Oryctolagus cuniculus: one gene and its partners. The protein of the gene in region 1 interacts with the protein of each later gene in a pairwise test. Links are inferred from orthologs where the notes say so. Each region holds a gene or a part of one and is shown on either strand. Other genes may lie near its edges. The genes, in order: EGFR, RAF1, CDK1, MAPK8, PTPN12, FRK and STAT1.

Region 1 (3,992 bases):
ATTTTGGCAGCTGGCTTCTTCAAACACCAGAGAAAGGTTTGTGAAAAACGATGGATTATGAAACCAAATGCATGAAGCCAGAAATGACTGTTCAGAGCCGGCTGGAGCTATCACCAGGTTTCTGCCTGTCTGTGCGATAGACAAGACTCTGAAAGAGTAAAAAGGAAATTTACTAGTATTTAGCGACTTGCAGAATCCCATTTCCAGTAGCTGTCATAACTCTCCTCCCTTTTAACTCATGATACCAGGCACGCACAGTGAATACTGAATTCACAAATACTGAACTCAGAAAGGGGATCGAGAAGCTTGGCGCTTGGATGTGACCTGTTCACCTCCACCCGCAGCTGGAGTGAGAAGACAAGGCCGGCTGCCAGGCCAGCCGGGGCATCCCATCCTTCGTCTTGGATTCCCTACCACCTCTGCTTTGGTTTCTCTTTAACACGGCCCAGGCCCACTGAACCAGGGGTGGCCAGGCTCATCCCCACAAGAAGCTTGTGGCTGAGAATTCCTGAGCTCCTGGGAACACCCCAGGACCTCCTCCTCAGCAGTGCCTTCCCTGGAGCGAGGATCCAGGCCTTGTTCAACTCCCCTAGCAAGCTTGGCTCAGGGATTTGGTGACAGAGCTGTCCCCACCAGGCTGAGGAACCCTGAGGAGAGCAGACCACTGGTTAGCAGGGTGTGTTTGCAGCCTCAGGAGGGGAGCCCAACTTGATGAGCCGTTCCTGGTACTTTTCCTCTGTGCTGCAAGTGAGGTGAGTCAGCCGCGTACACCTGACCTGGCTCCCCACACCTGGGCTGCAGAAGGCAGTGGCGTCTCAGCCCTGACCCTGCCTCTTGTGAGCGGTGGGGAAATCGATCTTCTCCTGCAGGGCGGGAAAATGAGGAAGGAGGTGAGGACGCAGGAGCCAGGTCTGGTTGTTAGATCTGAGGGCAGCCAATACCGGTTTCCTAGCTGAGACCCAAAAAACCCTCACCAATTCTCCTGGAATGGAATTGGCACGTGATTGACATGGGTCCTTAACAACTTCTATAGGAAGATTATGCCTCGCAGTTTTAGTAATTAGATCCTCGCCAGTCTCTCTGCCTCATGTTAACGGAGCGTGCGCGCCCTTTCTCACCACAGCACTGGCGAACACAGGGCAAACAAGAAACAAATCTCCCACCACGGCGGCAGCGGGGAGGCAGCCCCACTTAGGAGCTGGGCGCACTTCTGGGGTGAGAAGGCACTGAGCACTCGGTGTACCGGAGCCGCGCACCGGGGGCCTCAGAGCCCCCTTGGCCAAGCCCTGCCTTCGCGGCGCTCTGCGAGAGCTGCGCAGATTGGGGGAAGCTCCACGGCTAGCGGGTGAGCCTTCTGGACACTTCGCCCTTCTTTCCTCCACGCCAGGACTCGCAAGCCTGCCCGAGCTGTTAAAACCCAAGGCCGGCTCTCACCCCACACCAATTAAATCGGGGTATCCGTGAGCGGGAGCCGGACGTGGTCCTCGCTTCCTCTCCCCCGCCTCAACCTCCCCTCGCCCTCTCCCCTCTTTTCCAGTTCGTTGTTTATTACTATTTTCGTTTTTCAGTCCCAGGTGATTCCCACCTGCAGCGAAGTTTGGGGCCGCCGCAGCACCCCTGGCCCGCAGACGCGCCCGGCGCCAGAGCCCAGACCCGAGGCCGATGACATCAACGGCAAGCAGGGACCTGACTCTCTCGGAAGCCGGCCCAGCCGGGGATTGTGCAACGCGGCCTCCCGCGGCGGGCGTCTCGCGGCGAGGCCCACTCCGCGGGGCCTTCGCGCACGTGGGGCCCGGACCGCATCCTTTCCTGGTTTTGATACAGTTTAATATTTTGGTTGGCCCAATATCAAACTTTTCAGAAAGCAAAAGGAAACGCCAAAAAGGAGAAAATCTTGGGACTTTGAGAAAACCGTGGGGGACGCGCAGGGCGGGCTCGGAGCCGAGACCCGCCGCCCAGCCAGTCCTGCGGAGCAAGCACGCAGGTGGGGGCCGGGTTCGCCGCGCCGCCAAGCACCTGGCCCGGCCGCACCCGGCCGCTCGGCGCGGGGCGGGGACTGCGCGCCAGGGGCGTGCCGGACAGGACCCCAGCCCCAGTTCCCCGCGCCGTCCCGGCCCAGCAGCCTCGCGTGGTGGGCGACAGGAGTCCTCCAGCCCCCGCTCCGGCCGCAGCCCCTCACGCGGGAAGGGCTCGCGGGGCCTCTGGTTGCAGCCCGGGACCGGGTGGGGCCGGCGCGGGGAGGGTGCGCTCGGGAAGCGCCAGTCCCGGAAGGTGCGCGCAGCTCCCGGATCCAACCTAAACTCCCAGGGCCGCGGGTGGGACGCACCGCCCATGGGTGCGCGGACTGCGCGGGGCGCACGTGCCGGGTATGGAGCAGCTTGGGCAGCGCTCGGCGCCGGAGCTCCCCTGGTGCGACTCGCGCAGCCCAGGAGCTAGACGTCCAGAGCGGTTTCAGCCCGAGGGTCCTCACGGAAGTCGGGAAGACCGCGGCGCGGTGTGGTGCGGGTCGCGCCCTTACCTCTCTTCTCCTCCAGCGCCTGTCCCGCCTGCAGGAGCGCGGCCAGCAGCGCCAGGAGCGCGGGCCCGACCGGCCCCGAGGGTCGCATCGCTGCCGCTGCGCGCTCAACTGTGCGGTCGGTTCGGAAGGGCGTCGGGCTCCGTGCGCGGGGCAGACGCGGGCGCCTGAGTCCCGCCTGGGTCCGGCCTGGGACGCCCGCGCCTGGCCTCGGGGACTCCGGGCGGCGGGTGAGGAGCGGCTGCCGCGCTGCGCCGAGCTGCCCAGACGTCTGCCGGGCGGCGGGCGTGGGGAGGCGGCGGGAGGAGGGCCCAGCGGAGGAGGAGGGGTCGGAGGCGCGGAGGAGGAGGAGAATGCGAGCGGGAGGAAGAGCGGCGAGCGGAGGCGTGGACGCCGCGGCCCCGCGGGACCTGGCGCCGGGAGCGAGTTCCCGAGAGGGGCGTTCCGCGCGCCGCGACCCCAGGCCGGGTCGGTTCCCAGCGCGGGGCGCAGCCGGGCCTGGTCCCCTCACCGGCCCCTTCTGTAGACGGAGCCACCTGGAGCAGGCTCCGGACAAACCGGCTGAGCCCGAGGGCCGAGGTGGGTGACCACGCAGAGGGGCCGCTGGGGCCCCGGGGCAAGAGTCCCCAGCAGAGCCAGACCCAGACGGGCGGCTGGGGCCCCTAGGGGCCCCCTGAGCGCCCTCGAAGTCGTTGGGAACGAGCGCGCTCGGCTCCCCGCTGGGAGAGCGGCTTTCCTTTGCGTTCCTTGAGTGAATGCGTGAGGTCCCGGTGCGCCCACGGCCTCCACTGTGCCAGGGACTGGCTCCGGGAGCGAGGGCCGAGGATGTCGGTCGCGCACAGCACCGCAGACGCCAGCAAGAGTCACTGAGGATTTGGCCACAGGAAGTGGAGCTTCCTGGAGCTGCGGGGACTTTCTCTGAACCCTTGGGCCGAGGGCACCCCGCCTCGGCTCCAGGGCTTCTTCAGCGCTTCCCTGCTCTGCGGGTTTGCGCCCCGCCCGGCCGCGGGAAAGGTGGGGTTTGCGGGGAACCAGAGTGAGCGGCTGGCTTGTTCTTTGTTCTGAGGAATCGCGGCTGCCCCGGGTGAGCAAGGCTGTGAAGTCCACAGCCAGCCGTGTGTTTGGTTCCCAGCCCACATTCCAAACCAGAAGACTTAGAGCAGGCTGCAAAGAAACGCAAATACAAAAGCTAGAGACAAAAGCTAGAAGAGGAGCCAGGAAACAGAAGGGCACCCGTGATCCTGCGTTCCGCTACAGGAGCCACGGACGAACCCTAGGCACACTCGCTGCCCGCCAGGATGATTGGTGGCACAAATCGTGGTGTCCATGTGACCCTCGACTGACTTTTAAAAGTGCAGCGATTTATCCTGAGTACCCCAAAAAAAGACAAAGTGTGAGACCTTCTGGGCCCCCACCACATTCCTCCGTGGTGCTGGGGAGAGCTCTTCCAGGAACGGTGGCAGAAGTCCGTGGAAAC
Region 2 (2,784 bases), on another chromosome or scaffold:
CGTGCCTGCATTCTGTCCCCAAAGGATCAAATGAAATGTGAGTGTTAACAAAAAGAGCAAGTCCCTTACTGAATGTCGTCGTCACATTTCTCATCGGAATACGGAGCACGTGGTGACTTTGAAATTCAAACCACACTTGCTCCCTAACGGGTGCTCCTGTGACCTGCGGGTGCCAGGAGCTTATTCCCCAAACGTGTGGGAACTGCTTTCATGGTCAAGTTTGGCTGCCAGAAACACCCCATGTCTCACAGCTAACATAGGCCATGTCTCATGTTGTGACAACACAACCCCTACGCCTCTAGTTGGCCAAGAAGCCAAGAGCTGGGGAGGGTGGTGGACTTTACTGTTCAAAGTTATTCTCTGTAGCATGAAAAACACCTCTCTCCATGCTCCGTTCTATAAAAACACCTGGCAGAGACCACGGGTCTCCTCTAAAGAAACCGCCTCTGGATGTTGAAAACAGACAGCTGAATAATTTTGGCCATCTTGCAACTTTTAGCTCATAGCTGCTTTCTGACCAGATATACACTGTCCACCAACTAGAAATAAAATAAAGACAAAAGCCCAGTTAAATTTAGCAATAAACAGTATAATACTAGATTTTTTCAAGTTTAACCCAAACACGTATCTCAACTTGTGAGAATCTTTCCAGAGCAGACTTTCCCTCGGCATCACTCTGGGCACACCAAGGTACACCCTAACATTTCGTTTTTCGAAAGAAATTTCTTCCTGTCTTTTGCCTCTTTTTGTAATTAAAAAAAGAAAAAGAAAAAAGAAATCCCCTGCTCCAGGAGCCACTGGTGATCCAAAGGCTCCTGTTTCCCTACTTTAGAACTGAAGAGCTAGGGCTGGCATTGTGCCACAGCAGGTTAAAGCCCTGGCCTGCCACGCCAACATCCCATGTGGGTACTAGTTCAAGGCTCAGCTGCTCCACTTCCAATCCAGCTCTGTGCTGTGGCCTGAGAAAGCAGCGAAGGATGGCCCAAGTCCTTGGGGCTCTGCACCCACATAGGAAACCCAGAAGGAGCTCCCTGCTCCTGGCTTTGGATCAGCCCAGCTCTGGCTGTTACAGCAGATTTGGGGAGTGAACCCATGGATGGAAGACCTCTCTCTCTCTCTCTCTCTCTCTCCCTCCCTCTCTCTGTGTCTACTTCTCTCTGTAGCTCTGTGTTTCAGATAAATAAATCTCTAAAAACACAAACAAACAAAAACTGACACATCAAACTAAACCCAGCAACCAAAGGATACTGTTGGATTTCATGTCTCTGTGAATGATATTCTTTGCATGCAAGTAGCTGTGAAAGGAAAATAAATTTTTAAAAGCAGTTTGTGGGACGTGGGTAGAAAGCCATTTCTAACTGCAGCTTAAGAGGCAAAGCCACTGGAAAGCTTGCAGGTCCCCAGGGAGGTGTCACTACAGGCCCTGGTCCTGTGCCAGCTCAGCCCAATCCACACCTCGAAGGTGAGGCCACCGTACAGACGCGCTCGGACTCCTCTAAAGCACCAGTTTGACTCAGGTAGTTCTGACAAGCCCAGAAAGGAAGCCGTCACTGACGTGGCTCCACCAACCATGTACGCAGCTGTGTATCTCCAAGCGAGATCTCCAGATCCACTTACAGGAAATGCACGACAGGTAAGATCCACAGAGACGAGCCAGACTGTCGGCTGGGGATGACTGCTGAGGGTACAGCTTTCTGGGCTGATGAAAATATTCTCAAGTGCGCGACGATGGCTACACAGCTCTCCATTTAGTGTAAAACCACAGAGCTGTATACTTCTTCAAAGGGTGAGTTTTATGGTATGTGAATTATGGTCCAAGTATATTTTCTCTAAAGTAATCCCGGCGAGTTATTTCTTAAGAGATACTGGAGGCAGAGGCTGGTGCAGCAGGCTAAGCTGCTGCTGGCAATGCTGGCATCCTCTAGAGGAGGGCAGGTTCAAGTCCCAGCTGTCCCCCTCCAGATCCAGCTCCCTGCTAATACGCCTGGGAGACCCAGTGGAGTTCCGGACTGCTGTGGCCATTGGGGGAACGACCCCAGAAATGGACGATCTGTCTCTCCCTCTCTTACTCTGCCTTAATACATACATAAGTAAATAAGTCTTTAAAAACATATGCAGAGAAGGCAGCTTCCCTCTGAATTTTAAACTACAACGTGGGAATCTGTGAGCCCCGCAAGCGCCGGTGCTGACCGGCTCAGGCCTCTGTGCACAGGAATCCCTGCAGAGCTCTGTGACGCGCTGGCGGGGCGGCCAGGGAAGCACACGCTCGTGCACGTGCACATGGCTCCCACTCAAGCATGGGTCCTGCAGCACAGAGGGGGCAGGCAAGCCCTTCACTGCTTCTCTACAAGGAAGAGAACCTAGAAAGTGACACCCGCTCAAACCCGCCTGTGGGAGGGCCGTGCCCCAGACGCGCAGCAGGGACCTGGCACACTGCCCCGGCAGGAGGGACGCGCCCCCGCACGTTCTCAGTCTCAGGCTGAAACACAGGTAACAGCAAGAGCCCGAACGTGCGCCTCCAGGAGGCAGCCTAGCTTAGGTGAGGAACCCGAACTTCTCACTCCTGGTCACTCCAGCCCAGGGACCGTTTTCAGTTGTGCGCGGTCGTTGCAGAATCACTTGTGGCCTTAGAAGGCTTTTCTGACTCTGGGACAAGTGAATGCTTGGCACCAGGCCATCTACTCACTCCATGCCTTGTGCTGTCTGGCGGGCGATGTCAATTAACTGGAACATCTGGAACTTGGTCTCCTGGACGTGCAGATGTTTATAGAGGCTGCTGCCCTC
Region 3 (3,942 bases), on another chromosome or scaffold:
CAACCATCTTGTGAGTACAATCATCTCCATTTGCAGGGGCAGAAACTGAGATCCAAGGACTTAACACTATCATAGTGTCTGAAAGAAAAGGGGTCTTGTGACTCCACTAAATGCCTGTAACATTAAATTTAAGATCATATTTTAACTGCTGTTTTTTCAGTATCAGAAATATGTAAGATTACAGAAGGAACGGAAAGGAAGGCCATCAGAGTATAATTTCAATTCTCTTTAACTGTTAATAGTAAAGAACATATACCACTGCACATTATTCCAATATTTACATGTCTCCATGATATAAATGATCATTTTTCTATTTTTAAAAAACCTGTATTTTTAAAATCACTCACCTTCTCCAATTTTCTCGATTTTGGTATAATCCTCCATAGTTAATCAGTAGGTATGGTAGATCCTAAAATGAGAGGAAAAATAGCTTTGATTATATGGCAATAACTCAAAGGTATAGTGCTTCCTGCAATGTATAGTTAAGTACTATAAACATTAGTTATTATGTTAAAATATTTACAAAGGTAAAGAAAAAGACTCCTGGAATAAGACTTTCCCATCTTGGGGCCGGCACTATGGCACAGTGGGTTAAAGCATCCCATATGGGCACTGGTTCTAGTCCCAGTTGCTCCTCTTCCAGTCCAGCTCTCTGCTATGGCCTGGGAGGGCAGTGGAGGATGGCCCAGGTGCTTGGGCCCTGCACCCGCATGGGAGACCTGGAGTAAGTTTCTGGCTCTGGATCAGCGCAGCTCCAGCCGTAGCGGCCATCTGGGGAGTGAACCAGCGGATATAAGACCTCTCTCTCTGTCTCTACCTCTCTCTGTAACTCTCTTTCAAGTAAATAAAAAAAATTAAAAAAAAAAGATTTTCCCATCCTTCTTAGCTCTAAAACATCGGAAATGCATATATTCCATGCTGATATTAGTATTTAAAATCTTCCAATCAAATTAATCCAAATTCAGACATCAACTTATTTACTCTTCTCAAACAAAAACCAGAATGTTTTTACAGTAGTACCAGTGTATAATGGGATTACACACAAATATTTCAACAAATGTTAAATGACTGAATTTGTACAGCTTTTGGGTGTTTTTACAAAGATGCTTCAAAACAAACTTTTTTTTAAAGTCATAAGAAGGAACTAAAATGGGGTGAGGTTATTTACCCATTAAGTTTTGTTTAAAGCTTTTAAAAAACATCTGTTTACACTTGCAAATAACAATCTTTCTCCTTTGTTTTCAGCAAACATGTGAGTTTGCATATATATATATTTTTTCCAAGAGAGGAAAATATATATATATATATTTGCAGAAGTAGGAAATAGCAGAGATACAAGAAAATGAAATTCCACAGTTCTAATGATCATAAAAGCTAGCAACTAATCCCTTAAGAAGTTCCATTTCTCATATTCATTGGCAAAGAAAAATCAATCCAAGAAGCGGTTTCGAAAAAAATTTTTAAACGAGCAGAGCTGCACTCCCGTGGTCATGAGTGCCACTCTTAGCCATTTATAATTTTACAAAATGGCAGTGGACGCTTCTCTTTGTCCTCAATGACCAGATTGAACATACCCACAGCACACAACTGAACTCGTTTGAACAAGTAGCTAAAAATCAACTCAAAGTTGGGCTCAATTACTCTCCCACCATTACCCAGTTATAATAATTATAATAAAGGAAGCTGCCCTGTATGCCTTTCGAATGTCTCCTGGGGCTCTGTACTACCAGCTGCAGATGTAAAAAAAAAAAATAAAATAAAATCAACGGTGACCCCCCCCCCACCTCCCTACCCAGAGACCTCCAGGTCTCAGGATATAAGAAGTGCACGGCGCAAACTGGCACTGGATTTTAAGAAACGACTCGTACTTATTAAAATGCAAAACGTGTTAATTTGCTCGGCATTTCTCAGCTTTCCGCTTTTTGCCAGCTCCACAATTAAAAAAAATAAATAAATAAAACCTCAGCCTTGTGCCTTAGCGTTCTTAAAAGCGCTGGGAGCGCGAGGGTCGCAGGCAGAGCCCAGCCCGGCCCGACAGGGCCGGGTTCACGCAGTCGCCTCACTCGCGGGAGTCTGCGCGTGTGAACTCGCTGGGTGCGCACCTGGCCCAGGTGCGGGCGGCTTCCCATCCCCCCGCCGGAAGCGGAGCGCGCGGGGCGCGGGGCCTGCGGCTGCGCCTGCCAGGCGGCGGGGGCTCAGCGTGCTCGACCCAACGCCTGGCTTTCTGCCTCCATCACCGCCCAGAGCCGTCTCAAGCGGGGTCGGCCACCCCCGCGGGCCGACTACGAGGCCGAGGGCAGCCCCAGCCCTCCCCAGGTAACCGCGCACGGAGGGGCGCCCCCCGGCCCCTCCGAAACCCAAGCCCCGGGCCGGGCTGAGCGCCCAGCCTGGCCCTGCACCCACCCCGGATCCCCAGCCTCCCCGAGAGCATGCCCTCCCTCCGTACTCGCCGCCCAAGGGAGACCCCAGGCCGGCCCCTGGAGAGAGGACGCCCGGCAGGCACGACCCCCGCCGCCCTGCAGTAACTCTACCCGGCTTGTTCTCTCCGCGGCGGCCGCGGCGCCAGATAACCACGTCCGCGAAGCTCTAAGCTCAACTTGCCAGAGCCAGCTTTGAAACTAAGTGCGAGCAGTTTCAAACTCACCGCGCTAAAGGGACCCAGACCCACCAATCACAGGGCTCGTAGACTTTCAAAGACACCAATCAGAGGCCGGCTGGGCTTGGGAGGGGCTTCCCGGGTAGCCAGAGCGCGAAAGAAAGAGGAAACGGCGGCTGGAAAAAAAGCAGGAGGGCGGGCGCCAACTGAATCAGAACGCAGGCGCCCTCTTGCATTCCAGGAAGGCGTCGTCCTCCTGTTTCTAGTCATCGGGAATGGATCGTTCGTTCTGTTTTGATTCTCTCCCTGTCTCGAGCAGTTTAACTTGATGGCACTCAAACAGCTCATCACACAAGTGAAACTGCACTTACATCGAGTTGCCAGAACTTCTAATACTTAGGGGTAGTGTATACTTAGGTTTTTCTAAGTGAGTGATGTGATTTCCAGGCTAGGCCAAAGGAGCATATTTACTAAAGAAATAATGAGAAACTCTCATGTCCACGAAAATGTCCACCAAAGTGTAAACAAAAATTTCCGATTTTAAATTTATATGCGTATGCATACATAGCTGTGGTTGTTTTTGACTCATCTATGAAACTTTTGAACTTACAGTTTTTTACCTAAATGTTTACGTAATGAAAACAATTTTAATTTGTTTTATTTGAGAAGGAGGGTTGGGGAGAGAGAGATCCTCCATCTGCGAGCCAGGAACTCAATCGGGTCTCCCACATCCATGGCAGGGGCCCAAGTACTTGAACCATATCTGTGACCCACCACAATTACATTAGCAGGAATTGGAAAGAGCAGAACAGGGACTGGGACCCAGGAACTCCCACGTGGAATGCAGGCATTTTAACTTCTGTGCCAAACACTGCCCCTATTTATTAGAAATTTAACAAAATTTTAATGTTTGAAATTTTCACAACAGAATTGTATACATTCTTTGTTTTTAAAAAAGATTTATTTATTTGAAAGGCAGAGTTACAGAGAGAGGAGAGATAGAGAAGAGAGATCTTCCATCCAGAGATTCACTCCCCAAATGGCCGCAGTGGCCAGGCCAATCCAGGAGCCAGGAGCTTATTCTGGGTCTCCCACATTGTGTACAGGGGCCCTAGGACCTGGGCCATCCTCTGTTGCTTTCCCGGGTGCATTAGCAGGGAGCTGGAGAGGAAGTGGAGCAGCTGGGACTAGAACTGATGCCCATATGGGATGCTGGCACTGCAGGCTGTGACTTTAACTCACTGTGCCACAGCCCCAACCCCCTTAAACATTCTTTTTTTTTTTTTTTAAGAATTATTTTATTTATTTGAAAGAGTTACAGAGAGAGGTAGAGACAGAGAGGTCTT
Region 4 (3,500 bases), on another chromosome or scaffold:
TAGTTCCATCTGAATCACTTGGCAAAGATTCGCATCCATGAGCTCCATGACTATGTAACTTCATGGGTGGAAAAAGATGACAGCTAAAGTGTACAAATCAATCTAAGAATAATGTACTAACATAATACAATTTTAATTGACACACTTACACATCTTGAAATTCTTCTAGAGATTTCTGTGGTGTAAAAACATTCAAAAGGCCAATTATCTGTGGAGAAAACAAACAGAAAAATTAGAAACCACTTCATAACATTTTCATTTGCAAACTGCAAATACAGTTTTATAAAAAGCCACCACTATAATCACTAAAATTTTATAAGCTCAAGTAACCTTTTATTTTTAAATACCTATTTATTTTTATTGATTTGAAAGGCAGAGAGAGTGCTATATTTGATCCCCTAGTTCACTCCCACAATGTCAGGCTGAAGACAGGAGCTACCAGGCTCCCATGTGAGTGGCTGGGACTCAACGACTTGGGGTTGTGAATTAGCAGGGAGCCAGATTAGAAGAAGAGTGACAGAGTAGCCAAGACTCAAACCATGCACTCTGGTATGGGATGTGGGTGTCTCGTGTGGCAGTTTAATCTGCTGTACCACAACACCCACCCTTCTTTTATTTTATACACTAAAACATTCACGGCTAGGGGAGGGGAGTGGGGAAGGAAGAAATGAAAAAGCAGACAATACCATAGAGGTGAATACCTCATTTTATGTTGGTTCAAATCATAAAATATGCCCCATCAAGAATGAACCCTAGCATGAGCTGCAGACTCTGATACAGTGTCAGGGAGGATCAGCTGTAACACACACACCACTCTGGTGGGGGGTGCCGATTCTTTGGGAGACTGTGCATGCTGGGGAGCAGGGGAGACACGGACACTCTCTGTATGTTCCTCTCAATTTTGTTGTGAAGCTAAAACTGCTCTAAAATGCTTTTTAAAAAACCTTATCAACATCATAATTTCATATAACCCATTCCATTTATAAACACACAAGTGTCAAGCACTTACATTACACAAACCTCTACACAGTTTTCAGTAAATCTTAAAAACCCGCTGCAGCTCTTCAACCAGCAGATCTGTGTCCTCGGTGTATGTCTGAAACCACAGACGGTGTGGAACCCTATACTATTCTTTTTCCTATCTATACATGTCTATCATGAAGCTTAACTTGCAAATTAGACACACTAAGAGCCTAAAACAATAACTATTAATAAAACGGAACCATGAATTTAATAAAGTATATTAAAACACTTATGTCAGTGTGGTTCCTTAAAATATTTATTGTATTACACTCGTCTTTTTCTTTTCAAAGATTTATTATTAATTGGGACCAGCACTGTGGCACAGTAGGTTAAGACTCTGCCTGCGGTGCTGGCATCCCATATGGGCACCAGTTTGTGTCCTGGCTGCTTCTTTTCCAATCCAGCTCCCTGCCTATAGCCTGGGAAAGCAGTGGAAGATGGCTCAAGTGTTTGGGCCCCTTCACTCACGTGGAGAATCCGGAGGCAGTTTCTGGCTTCTGGCTATGGATCGGCCCAGCTCTGGCTGTTTATGGCCATTTGGGAAGTGAACCAGTGAATGAAGACCTGTCTCTTTCTCCCTCTGTTTGTAACTCTCTCAAATAAAATGAATAAATCTTAAAAAAAAAAAATTTTGTTCATTTGAGACACAGAGTGACACAGAGAGAGGGAGAGACAAAGAAAGAGGGAGATCTTCCATCTACTAGCTCACTTCCAAATGGCTGCAATGGCTGGGTCTGGGCTGAGCCAAAACCAGGAGTCAGGAACTTCACCCTGGTCTTCCACGTGGGTGGCAGGTGTCTAAGGACTTGGGCCGTCTTCCACTGCTTTCCCAGGCATATTGGCAAGGAGCTGGATCAGAAGTAGAGCAGCCGGGACTGGAACCAGTGCTCATATGGGTTGGTATTCCACACAGCAGCTTAACTTTCTGAGCCACAGTGCCGGCCCCTCACCTTCCTGTTTGTGATGTGAAACAGTACGATGTCCATGTGATGAGATGAGATGAGGAAACTGACAAAGGCACTGTGACACTGTATTAGGCTACTACCTAGTGAACAGAAACACTGTGACACGATGACAGTGAACGGACAACTGAAATGGCTACTTAAGGACTAAGAGGCATACGGCATAGTCACAATGCACAAAGGGAGGATTCATGTCTGGTATCAAACACACCAGGACAGTGCGAGATTTCATAACTGTTCTTAGAATAGCACACAATTTAAAACTTGCAAATTTTTATTTCTGAAATTTTCCACATAATATTCTTGGGCCACAAGGACTGTTGAGTACCTGAAATTGTGAAAAGCAAAACCACAGATGGAGGGAACTACTGTAATCTTGGCATTTTCCTCCCCTTGCTCTTCATAATACTGTTCCTGTTCCATTTTCTTTGTTCCAAGGTCTATTTCCCTGGTTCATCCTCACGCATACTCTCTCCCACTACTGTCTTTAATCCTGTTCTGGCTGGGCCCTTTCCCTGCACATCTTTTTCTCCAAACATCTCCATATGGATAATTCCCGAATATGCATCTGGAGTCTTTGCTTAGCTGCTGCTTCTTTGTTTTTTAAAGATTTATTTATTTATTTGAAAGGCAGAGTTAGAGAGGCAGAGGCAGAGGGGTGTGTCTTCCATCCGCTGTTTCACTCCCCAAATGGCTGCAACAGCTGGAGCTGGGCCGACCAGAAGCCTGGCGCTTCTTTCAGGTCTTCCACGGGGGTACAGGAGCCTGAGCATTTGGGCCACCTTCCGCTGCTTTCTCAGGCACATTAGCAGGGAGCTGGATCAGAAGTGGAGCAGCTGGGATTTGCACCAAGGCCCATATGGGATGCGGGCACTGCAGGTGGTGGCTTTACCTGCTACATTACAGTGCCTGCCCCTTTGCTTAGCTTCTGAGTGCCAGATATACATTGCTAGTTTACATGGATGTCTCACAAAATACATAATTTACTCATTCATTCCTATTCAAACCCTTCACTATTCCAGTGTGTCCTCTCTTTTATAATAGAAGGCTTGGTGATTTTTAACTCCTTTTTCAGTATCCTGCACCATAACAAATATTCCAAGGAATGCTATTTACTCTACCATCAGCCTCAATTTCAATCTCTGTTTTCTAATGCCTAGGCTACCATACAGGCCGAGGATTCTAACATCTCCTTTACACTGTTCATACTATAATTGCTCTAACACCAGTGTCAGATTGAAGGGTTATCTTCCCCCAGATTCCTACACTGAGGTCCTATCTCCCAGCATAACAATGACTGGAGATGGGGCCTCTGACAGATGATTGTTCGGATGAATTTATGGAAGTAGGCCCTCTAAGTGGGATTAGTGGCCTTCTGAGAGAGATCTTTCTTTTTTTCTATAAGCACTCAGCAAGCAAAGGCCACATGAGCACAAAGTGAGAAGATGGCCGCTGCAAGTCAGAGAGAGAGCTTTTACTAGGAAGCTTCATGCTGAACAGCCCCAAAACTGAGAA
Region 5 (2,307 bases), on another chromosome or scaffold:
ACGTGGGTGACAGAGGCTTGACCACTTGGGCCATCTTCCATTGCTTTTCCCAGACCATGAGCAGGCAGCAGGTTAGATAGAAATGGAGCAGCCGGGACTCGAACTGATACCCATGGGATGCTGGCATTGCCAAGTATTTAACTTTGATAATATTCTAACACAAAGTTATAGTATTATTTTTTTCTTTAAAACAATGCCATTCTATTAATATAAGGTTACTCTCTCTCATTTTTTTTTTTAATATGCAGAGGTAGGAAGAAACAGTTCTGTTTTCCTAACCACACTTTGGTGGGTGTTCTATCAGGACATTTGATGGTGGGTTAATAATGATAAGGAGGAAAATGGTTTGGCTCAAGGATAAAAGCCATGTTTGTTTTGCAGGAGGCACAAAGAAATTAAAGTCCATTCACATTTATCGCAAGGACCAAGCCAGCAAAGAAGCCGATATTAAGTCTAAATTCCCAAGAATAGGGAATGAAAAAACCAAGACAACACATAGGCACTGTAAAATTGTTTTTGTTGTTTTAATGGCAGGTCAAATATTCTGAAACATACATATAATCTGATAGTCTTCTAATCCCAGTTGAGTTCAAATATTAAAGTAACACACACAAGCTAAGAGACTTCAATATTGTTCCAAGGCACTTACTGAATCTCCATGACTAGTTGAAAACAAGGACAATTAAGATGAACAATTAGACAGTATATAATATAAAAATAACTTTTTGCTTACAATTTACAAAATGTATTATTACAATCTTTGATCTCTGATAACCTGCAATGCTGGCTGCATGAATCCAGCAATTTTAAAATTCAGAAACTATTTTCTAAAACTTCAGGGCAAATAATTTACAAATAAAGTACACAAAGATTTAGACCATGCAGAAATTTCTTACATCTTCTGTTAATAATATTTTATGACTGCAACTTTATCAAGTTATATACCTACTTGCCCTGTACATATACAAAATAATGCATACATGATAAAACAGCAAAAGAGTAGTCCTTAAAGTCAATTTATCATAAAAGTATTACTATATTAACATGTCTACAAGCAGCGTTGTAACAGGGTTAAAAGACATTAAGGCAATAATACTTGAAGTTACAAAATAAAACCATATGTAATACTTTTTCCTAAGTGTAGTATAAGGCAGGTAGATGGTCCCAGCAAAAAATATTAAGGTAACAACCTACACTGCTGTTAGTCCCACATTTGAAAGATGGAATACTATAAATCTGGCTTTTGGTGGCACTTGGATTTTCCAGTATAATTTAAAGTGTCTTTTAGCTCCCTGAATCATGTCCATTCTGAAGGAGGATCTCTTGGTCCTTTAGGTCTTCCACAGCGATTACCAAAACCTACAGAAAAAAAGATACCACAATAACTGATTGGTGTTTGAAAAAACTTTCACACTCCAAGTCTGTGGACATTATCATTTTCAGGAACAAAGAAATTTTTATATGAGAATTTAGAATTTGAACCAAATAACACTTGGTAGGTAGATGCAAAACAATTGTAAACACTTATAATTGTAAATTTATTTTGAAAATAATTGCTACTTTTAACATCATGCTAAAAATACAACCAATCTTATGACACAAGAAAAGCATGTAAGATACATAGATTTTCCAACAAAAAGGATTTTTTTATAGTTTGATTTTTAATCACAGTGTGAAATAGAATTAAGTGTTTCACTTCTTTCAGGATTAATTCCAAGCAAGTTTAATCAGACATATTTTATTTTTGGCAAACACCATATTAGAACCTGAGTAGAGCAAAGTCAAAAATTTTATGAAAAACTTGAAACAATGGCAAGTGACTTTTTTTCATTCTTGCATGCTTTGCTTTTTAAAAATTATTCGTTAAACAAATTACCGATATCTGTGGCTTCTGATGGACTTTCTGATATTTGATCTTTCTTGTCACTGAAAATAGGTGGACATTCTGCACAAGATTCTGTGTGAATACTTGCTGATAGATGATCTAAAATGCAGAAACAAAGCCCTTGTTAATCACCATCCTTAGCAGCAGCACACTCAAAACTCTGGCATTGTTTTAATGTGGGCAGTGCATTACAAGTTCTGCTTTCTTTTTCTTAAGATACCTTTATTTATTTGAAATGCAGGGTTCTAGAGAAACAGGAAGAGACAGAGAGAAAGAGATCTTCCACCTGCTGGTTCACTCCCTAAATGGCTGCAACGGCCATGGCTGGGTCAGTTCAAAGCCAGGAGCTTGGAACTCCATCTAGGTCTCCTATGTGGGTGTAGAGGCCCAGGTAGTTTGGGCCATCTTCCATTGTTTTCTCA
Region 6 (3,500 bases), on another chromosome or scaffold:
TGAATTGATTATTCCATTTTTTACTACTTCATTATTTGATGTTCTTCAGTGTTCAACTTATGAAGTTATTTGTATCTGAATATGAAGAGTCTGTTTCAAAATAGTCCTCAAGCTTCCAATGCAATGTCTCAAATGTCGGTCGTTCCTTTGGCTCTGCATTCCAGCACTCCAACATGATGTTGTAGAATTGCTCTGGACAGTTAGATGGTTGTGGGAGTCTATAGTTTTGACTCAACAACTGGATTACCTGAGCACCTGTCATGCCTAAAAAAATACAGAATTGAATCAAAAATAAGAAAAAAAGTTAAAGATCAAAGTCTTAAATTCATAGATTCCTATGAGTACTCTAGATTATAAAGCACATCATTTTCTTTCGCAGAGCTATGAGGTCTAATACCACCTTCCCAGGTTGCAGAGATTAAACTAAATCCTGAAGCAAGTAATGTCTATAAGACTGCAATTCAAGAGCAAAGGAGAAGGAAGCAATAAACCACCTCATTAATGCAAATTATCATCATCAAATTTTATCTTTCAGGCTCCCACAGGTACATGCTATGGTCAGCGTCATAACTCTGCCCTCTAAGTCTGGACAAAGCAGTTAAAGTCACACCTAAATAAGTGACCTGCAGCAGAAAGGCCCACTTCAGAATTAATTACTCACCACTATAAGGCATTTTGCCATAAGTAATGATTTCATAAAGAAGGATTCCAAATGACCACACATCGGACTTAATGCTGAATTTATTAGAACGAATGGCTTCAGGTGCAGTCCACTTCACCGGCAGCTTTATTTCATGTTTAGATTCATAGATATCTTCATTATCTACCTGTTAGTACATTAAGGAATCAAGCCAAGATAATGTGATGATTTTTTTTCTTGCTATTCTCATTCATTCACAACCTACTGCACATTAAAATTTAGTTCAATTGATAATTACAATAGTAAATTCTGAATCTGGCATACAATACCAAATTGATAAAATATTTGAGAGCCTACTGTGTGCTAAGAATAGCACTCACAGGAGCACTCTACAACATATGGCAGAGTTCTCACATGATAATCCTGGATTCATATCTAGTCTTTTCACAAATAAAAAAAAGGAAGCAGAGTCTGCTTTTTGATTTACCGCTGGTATTGAAGACCCTCTGACTTTGATAATTACCATGTAACCACTTGCTAATACTGAAAAGTAGAATCTAAATGATTTAAATTAATATATCAACTCACTGGTGTTCTAATTAATTTTAAAAAGATGATGAATTCATGATGATCAAAAGGGAATCATACTTGTGTTTCATGCCCCATATCCATATTTTTAGGGTACAATGTGGATTTCAAAATTAAATTCAGAGAAAAACCTCATATTGTGTCTCTCTATCAGTATGTTTTGGAAAGATATTACAAAATGGGCTGGAGAGAATGAAACAGTCTATACTTGCTTTGAGATTGTCAGCATGCATATAGCCTGGCATAAAGTGAGCCAAGGTGGATAGGGTAACTATAAAAATTGTAGTGCTTTTATAAAGAAAATAAAGGAAGACAAAGGATGGTACTAAGTGAAAACAGATCACTAATTCAACCATAAACAATAACATAATTTATAATACGGTTGCTTATGATTTCCTGTTTTCTTCTTTGTGGAAGAAATAAGGATTTTCTTAAAGAGAAATGGGAGGAGACTATGGCAGCCCATGTCATTAGTGATGTTGCCTGAGAGAGGACCTTGTGGACCACAAGCACTTTCAGTCTTCTCTGGAGCAATAGTGAGGGGCAGGGTGCCCACCTAAACCTATTATGTGAGAACACATTGCCTGCTTCCCATTCTTCTCCTCCCGTATAAGGGCTCCAGGCAAATAGCAGGGAGGAAGTGTCATTTTAAAAGATGAGTATAGGCTGCCTTGGCTTACTTACAGGTGATAGGGGACTTTATCTGAGGGATAATTCAGTGGTCTCCATTGACTTTGAGTCTGGGACAGAGGTTTGGCAGGGGGCAGAGAGCCCACTTAAGCCTGTAAGCACTTACCTCCCTCCATATCACTGATGCATGTACTCAAACTGCAAAGCAGAACACTGAAGGCATCTGGACCTGAGAAAATATCTCTCTCCAAGGACAGAGCAGCCTCATAGGGTTGAGAGTGGATTCCCTACTCCCTGTGACGGTAGGAGCCCTGTACTCTATGGCTTTAGGAGTTCTGCCACTGCACAATTGGGTGTGGAGTGTAGCTAGGTCTTTGGGTGATCTCTGTCTGGGTCCAGAGGTTCAGAGTTCCCTAACTGCTGAGGTAGGCTGCTGCAGAGGATTCAATGCTCACACTGAAAACCACAGAGATATTTTAAGTGTTTCTTGTGAATGCATGTGTGGGATGTGTAGCCACTGTGGGCTGGCCCTGGGCATTGATCACCTCAGCAAAGAGGAAGTGAGGCAATGATTCCAAATTTAGCATACCCTCCCCTTTACTGGCAATAAAGATCTACCATACACAACATAAATTTCAACCCGGACTTTAGAACCACCCCAAGCACTGACCAGAGCTCCCTGGCCCCACCCAGCACATGCCTCTGAAGATGCACTGAAGGAACATTCTACTGATTCACAGAACCAAAGATAAAGTCATCAGAGGAGAAAAACAAGCAGTTCCACAAATGTCTAAAAATAACAGTACAAACATGAGAAACACGAACAAGGAAGACAATATGCCTATCCCAAAGGAACACAACTCTTCAATATTAGAATGTGAAGATGAAGAGATTGGTGACATGCATCAGGTCATTTCAGGGTATGCCTGAAAAGGAACTTGGAAAACCAATCAAAATATTACTCAAAACAAGTAAGAAGCAAATTCATGACTAAAATAAATTCCGACATGACATGGAAAAAAATTTCCCATGAGATGGAGATATTGAAGAGAAATTGAATTGAAATATTAGAAATTAAGAATTCAATGTGTCAAATAAAAATACATTGGGAATCCTTAACAACAAATTTGATGAGGCAGAAAAAAGAATATCTGAGCTTGAAGACAAACCTTTGGAAATATCTCAGTCAGGCAAAGAAAAAATGAGAAAAATTGAAAACAGCACTCAAGTTTTATGTGTTAATATAAAACAATCTAACATATATGTCTTAGGAGTTCCTGAAAGGTGTAGAAAAATAGAACATATTAGAATACATATTCAGTGAAATAATAACAGAAAATACCCCTAATTTGAAGAAGAAAGGCACATCCAAATATGAAACTCACAGAACTCATAATAGACTTGATTAGAAAAGGTCTTCACCATGAAGCACTGTTTCAAGCTTTTAACAGTAAGGCATAAAGAAACGATTCTAAAATGTGCACAAGAGTAATGCCAGATTACCTTCAGAGGATCTCCATTCAGATTGACAGCTGATTTCTCATCAGAAACCCTACAGGCTAGGAGAGAATGGCAAGATATATTCCAAGTCTTAAGAGAAAAAAAAAAAACTGTCAACCCAGATACTATACCCTGCAAAGCT
Region 7 (3,500 bases), on another chromosome or scaffold:
AAGTTAAAAAAAAAAATCCATGTGCAGCACAGGCTGGATTGGGAACATGGTGGCAGCAGATCTTGGGACTAGAGAGGAAAGTGTCAGCCCCAAATTTGGGGTTGGGCCAGGAAATTGGAGGATGGTTATGCCACTCTGCTTTGGTAACAGGTTTTGAGGGAGATAAGATCGAGCCTGGGTTTGTTCATGTGAATTTATTGCTTCCCCTGCTCTGTGCCAGGTGTGGTGGGTGTACAAGCTCACCCAGCCTCTAGAACCAGCGTGTTGATAGGGAATAAGCTGCCAGGGTTCACTTGGCTAGTAAGAGGTTGCAGCCTCTACCGGGGGCCAGGCCCACATATTTGCTTTAGGGATATCCTTGGTAGACACCTAGCAGGCAGGGAGAGAGCCTCAGGTGTGGAGACTTCTGCTCAGGTAAAATACATCTGGAGCAAAAAATCAAATTGCCACAGCAGGTGTGCAAATGGGGTGGGCCCGGGTCCCTTTCTGCTGGTATTTGTGAGGTGAGTAGCTCTGTCGTCACTTGTGGGGTAGACAAGGCCTGGCGTTAGCACACTCAGGGACCTGTGTGCATCCACACTGATCCATGCCTTTCTGGAAACTGTGCACTCCTTCCCCCAGGCTCGGGCAGGACAAGGTTCACTGGTGTCCACTCTGAATGTTGCTAGCCAAAGGCTGCTATAAATCCTAAATTATATAATGGTCGTGTGAGGCTGTTCATTGTCCTAATGGATTTTAGGACTTCCTTAATCAGGCTTTTGTTGAAGTTTTTCTTCTTTAAGATTGAAGAGTAAAATTGACTTAACAGTTACCCAGAGAAATAAGTGTGACTTTGTCCCTTCGAATTACATTTGATAATGTTTGAGCCTTCAGAAATTATTAGTGAGGTCTAGGATTTCTTTTGTGCCAGCTTTATCGTTTGCTGTAGGCAGAGAACATATGTACTTCTAAGATGTTATAACGAAGATAATTTTACCATATGTGTTGGTTAGTTTTCTATTGCCATGATAAAACAATCAAGGCTCTGTCACTTATAAAGAAAGGAGGTTTATTTAACTCATGGTTTTGAAGGCTGGTAAGTCGAAACAATGTGGTGCCAGCTCCAGTGATGGCCCCTGGCTTGGCACATTTTGGTGGACGGCATCATGGTGGGAGTGCATGCAGCTGGTGCAATCACATGGCAAGACAAAAAGCCAGAGACACTGAAGAGGGAAAAGCCCTGCTGGGTTTTTTTTTTTTTTTTTAACTTAATTTAATTTTTATATTCTCTTGGGGGAACTAGCCAGAGTCCCATGAGAATTGCATCAGTTCCTTCTCAGGGAAGCACCCCTGACCCAATCGCCTTACACTAGGCCCCACTTCTTTTAAGTTCTATATGGTCCCCCAACATCATCATGCTGAGGACCAAGCTGCCAACACGCAGGAAACCCCAGGGGACACACTGGAACCATGGAGCAGAAAATGAGAGTGAAAAGTTCTTGGAGTAAATCACACATGTACTGTAATTTTGCTGGGGAACGATTTTTGGAGAGCTTTTGCAGTGATCATAAAGCAAAACTAAATAAAGTGTTGCATTTTTTGTTTGCTAAAAAGGCAGATTCATTTAAAATGTTTATTTTACTTACCAGCTATTTATTTATTTATATTTTTTACAATTTGCTTATCTGAAACTCAGACATAGAAAAAGATTCTCTATCCACTGATTCACTCCCCACATGCCTGCAGCCGTCAGTGCTGGGCCTAGCTGAAACCAGGAGCCTGAAACACAGTGCAGGTCTCCCGCACGAGGGGCAGGGTCACCGTCTGCTGCCTTCCAGGGCGCACATTTGTAGGAAGCTGGGGCTCCAATCCAGACGCTCCGGTGTGGGGTGCGGGTGTCCCAAGGACTGTCTTAACTGTTGTACCAAATGCCCGCCCCGGCTCATTTTAAAGTCTTTATGAGTACTTCGTATGTGTGCTCTGGAGATAAAACAGGGGACAAAGTCCTCTTCCCCCTAAAATCTTTTCCTTCATGTGGTCAAATCAGACCATAATCAAAATAATAAAGTACCTGGTGGGTCAGTGTATGCTGTGGAGGGTGGTTTCTTAGGCAGGAGGCGGTTGTGATGTAAATACGGTGGAGAGGGAAAGCTGTGTGTTGACATTTGAGCAAAGATCGGGAGATGTGTTTCCTGGAGAAGGAGAAAATGTTGATCCTCAAACTCAATTAAAAAAACGTGGTTTAGAATATAGGCATTTAAATGATATATTTCAGAGACAGATTGTGTATGGGGTTAAGATGTGTACAAGAGCGTGAAGAAAGAAGGCTTTCTTTAGAGCTGCAGTCTTCCGTCTGTGACACGTTGCTCTCTTCCTGCAGGATGTCTCAGTGGTATGAGCTTCAGCAGCTCGACTCTAAATTCCTGGAGCAGGTTCACCAGCTCTATGATGACAGTTTTCCCATGGAAATTCGACAGTACCTGGCACAGTGGCTAGAAAATCAGGACTGGTAAGGAGAACTCACTAGACAGGAACACGTCTATCTACACTCCAGAAGTACTTGGTGCAAGACGTTCCTAGTCATCAGGGAAATGCAGATCCAAGCCACAGTGGGATACTGCCTCCCTCCGGTTACCATAGCTATGATCAAAAAGACAAAGACAGCAAATGCTCATGGGGATGTGGAGAAAGGGAATCCTTGCACCATTGGTGGGAATGTAAATTAGCATGGCCATTATGGAAAACAGTATGGAGATTCCCCAAAAATCAAAAATAGAACCATAATATGATTCCACTACTAGGAATATATATCTAATTGAAAATGAAGTTAGTCTGCTGAAGAGATACCTGCAGTCTCATGTTTTATTGCAGCATAACTCACAATAGTGGAAACTTCTCAACTGAAGGATGGATAAAGAAAATGTGTCTAAACACGATGGAATACTATTCAGCCGTAGAAAGGAATGAAGTCTGTCATTTACAATAACCCAGATGGAACTAGGGGACAGTGATATTAAATGAAAGAATCCAGACACAAATACCATGATCTTGCTCATATGTGTCATCTAAAACTGATCTCATGGAAGTTGAGAATAGGATGGTGGTTACCAGAGACTGGCCAACAGATACTAAGTGTCAGTTAGGTAGGAGTAATAAATCCTGGTGTTCTGTTGCATAATGGGATGATTATAGGTAATAATGTACTGTGAACTCTAATAACAAAAAACCTAGAAGAAAAGATTTTGAATGTTTTGCCATGGAGAGGTGATAAATGTGTGAGGAGATGGATATACTTGATTGTGAGCATTACACAATGAATGCACACACTGAAATATTACTTGGTACACCATAACTACAACTACATACAATTTTATTTATCACTTAAATATATATATATAAAAATTTTAAAAATGTATTTGTTTATTAAATGAGTTGGAGCTAAATTTACACAAAGATAAATCTCATCAATGACCAGAGATTCCATCTGTCACATAAAAGTTTAAAAACTGGGGTTTGTCTCT

What was found.
Region 2: the proteins of EGFR (region 1) and RAF1 interact in a protein complementation assay, tested with the Homo sapiens proteins (3 studies listed by BioGRID and IntAct, with this or other methods). The link is inferred for Oryctolagus cuniculus from reciprocal best matches to the Homo sapiens genes EGFR and RAF1.
Region 3: the proteins of EGFR (region 1) and CDK1 interact in binary tests that used the Homo sapiens proteins (3 or more experiments, as listed by UniProt). The link is inferred for Oryctolagus cuniculus from reciprocal best matches to the Homo sapiens genes EGFR and CDK1.
Region 4: the proteins of EGFR (region 1) and MAPK8 interact in a protein complementation assay, tested with the Homo sapiens proteins (3 studies listed by BioGRID and IntAct, with this or other methods). The link is inferred for Oryctolagus cuniculus from reciprocal best matches to the Homo sapiens genes EGFR and MAPK8.
Region 5: the proteins of EGFR (region 1) and PTPN12 interact in binary tests that used the Homo sapiens proteins (3 or more experiments, as listed by UniProt). The link is inferred for Oryctolagus cuniculus from reciprocal best matches to the Homo sapiens genes EGFR and PTPN12.
Region 6: the proteins of EGFR (region 1) and FRK interact in a protein complementation assay, tested with the Homo sapiens proteins (3 studies listed by BioGRID and IntAct, with this or other methods). The link is inferred for Oryctolagus cuniculus from reciprocal best matches to the Homo sapiens genes EGFR and FRK.
Region 7: the proteins of EGFR (region 1) and STAT1 interact in binary tests that used the Homo sapiens proteins (3 or more experiments, as listed by UniProt). The link is inferred for Oryctolagus cuniculus from reciprocal best matches to the Homo sapiens genes EGFR and STAT1.

The regions. Positions count from the first base shown.
Region 1 is NC_091447.1:57,745,942-57,749,933, reverse strand, and holds the start of EGFR (epidermal growth factor receptor), read right to left. Parts: upstream 2,801-3,992; 5' UTR 2,607-2,800; coding exon 2,519-2,606; intron 1-2,518. UniProt on the Homo sapiens protein: Receptor tyrosine kinase binding ligands of the EGF family and activating several signaling cascades to convert extracellular cues into appropriate cellular responses.
Region 2 is NC_091441.1:114,678,497-114,681,280, reverse strand, and holds part of RAF1 (RAF proto-oncogene serine/threonine-protein kinase), read right to left. Parts: coding exon 2,687-2,784; intron 1,296-2,686; coding exon 1,249-1,295; intron 1-1,248. UniProt on the Homo sapiens protein: Serine/threonine-protein kinase that acts as a regulatory link between the membrane-associated Ras GTPases and the MAPK/ERK cascade, and this critical regulatory link functions as a switch determining cell fate decisions including proliferation, differentiation, apoptosis, survival and oncogenic transformation.
Region 3 is NC_091446.1:53,159,327-53,163,268, reverse strand, and holds the start of CDK1 (cyclin-dependent kinase 1), read right to left. Parts: upstream 2,801-3,942; 5' UTR 2,645-2,800; exon of another isoform or gene 2,447-2,644; intron 410-2,446; 5' UTR 385-409; coding exon 348-384; intron 1-347. UniProt on the Homo sapiens protein: Plays a key role in the control of the eukaryotic cell cycle by modulating the centrosome cycle as well as mitotic onset; promotes G2-M transition via association with multiple interphase cyclins.
Region 4 is NC_091446.1:81,393,328-81,396,827, reverse strand, and holds part of MAPK8 (mitogen-activated protein kinase 8), read right to left. Parts: intron 209-3,500; coding exon 150-208; intron 59-149; coding exon 1-58. UniProt on the Homo sapiens protein: Serine/threonine-protein kinase involved in various processes such as cell proliferation, differentiation, migration, transformation and programmed cell death.
Region 5 is NC_091434.1:142,131,530-142,133,836, reverse strand, and holds the end of PTPN12 (tyrosine-protein phosphatase non-receptor type 12), read right to left. Parts: intron 1,985-2,307; coding exon 1,877-1,984; intron 1,360-1,876; coding exon 1,298-1,359; 3' UTR 501-1,297; downstream 1-500. UniProt on the Homo sapiens protein: Dephosphorylates a range of proteins, and thereby regulates cellular signaling cascades. Dephosphorylates cellular tyrosine kinases, such as ERBB2 and PTK2B/PYK2, and thereby regulates signaling via ERBB2 and PTK2B/PYK2.
Region 6 is NC_091436.1:55,225,748-55,229,247, reverse strand, and holds part of FRK (tyrosine-protein kinase FRK), read right to left. Parts: intron 828-3,500; coding exon 662-827; intron 265-661; coding exon 53-264; 3' UTR 1-52. UniProt on the Homo sapiens protein: Non-receptor tyrosine-protein kinase that negatively regulates cell proliferation.
Region 7 is NC_091434.1:49,297,924-49,301,423, forward strand, and holds part of STAT1 (signal transducer and activator of transcription 1-alpha/beta), read left to right. Parts: intron 1-2,359; 5' UTR 2,360-2,360; coding exon 2,361-2,488; intron 2,489-3,500. UniProt on the Homo sapiens protein: Signal transducer and transcription activator that mediates cellular responses to interferons (IFNs), cytokine KITLG/SCF and other cytokines and other growth factors.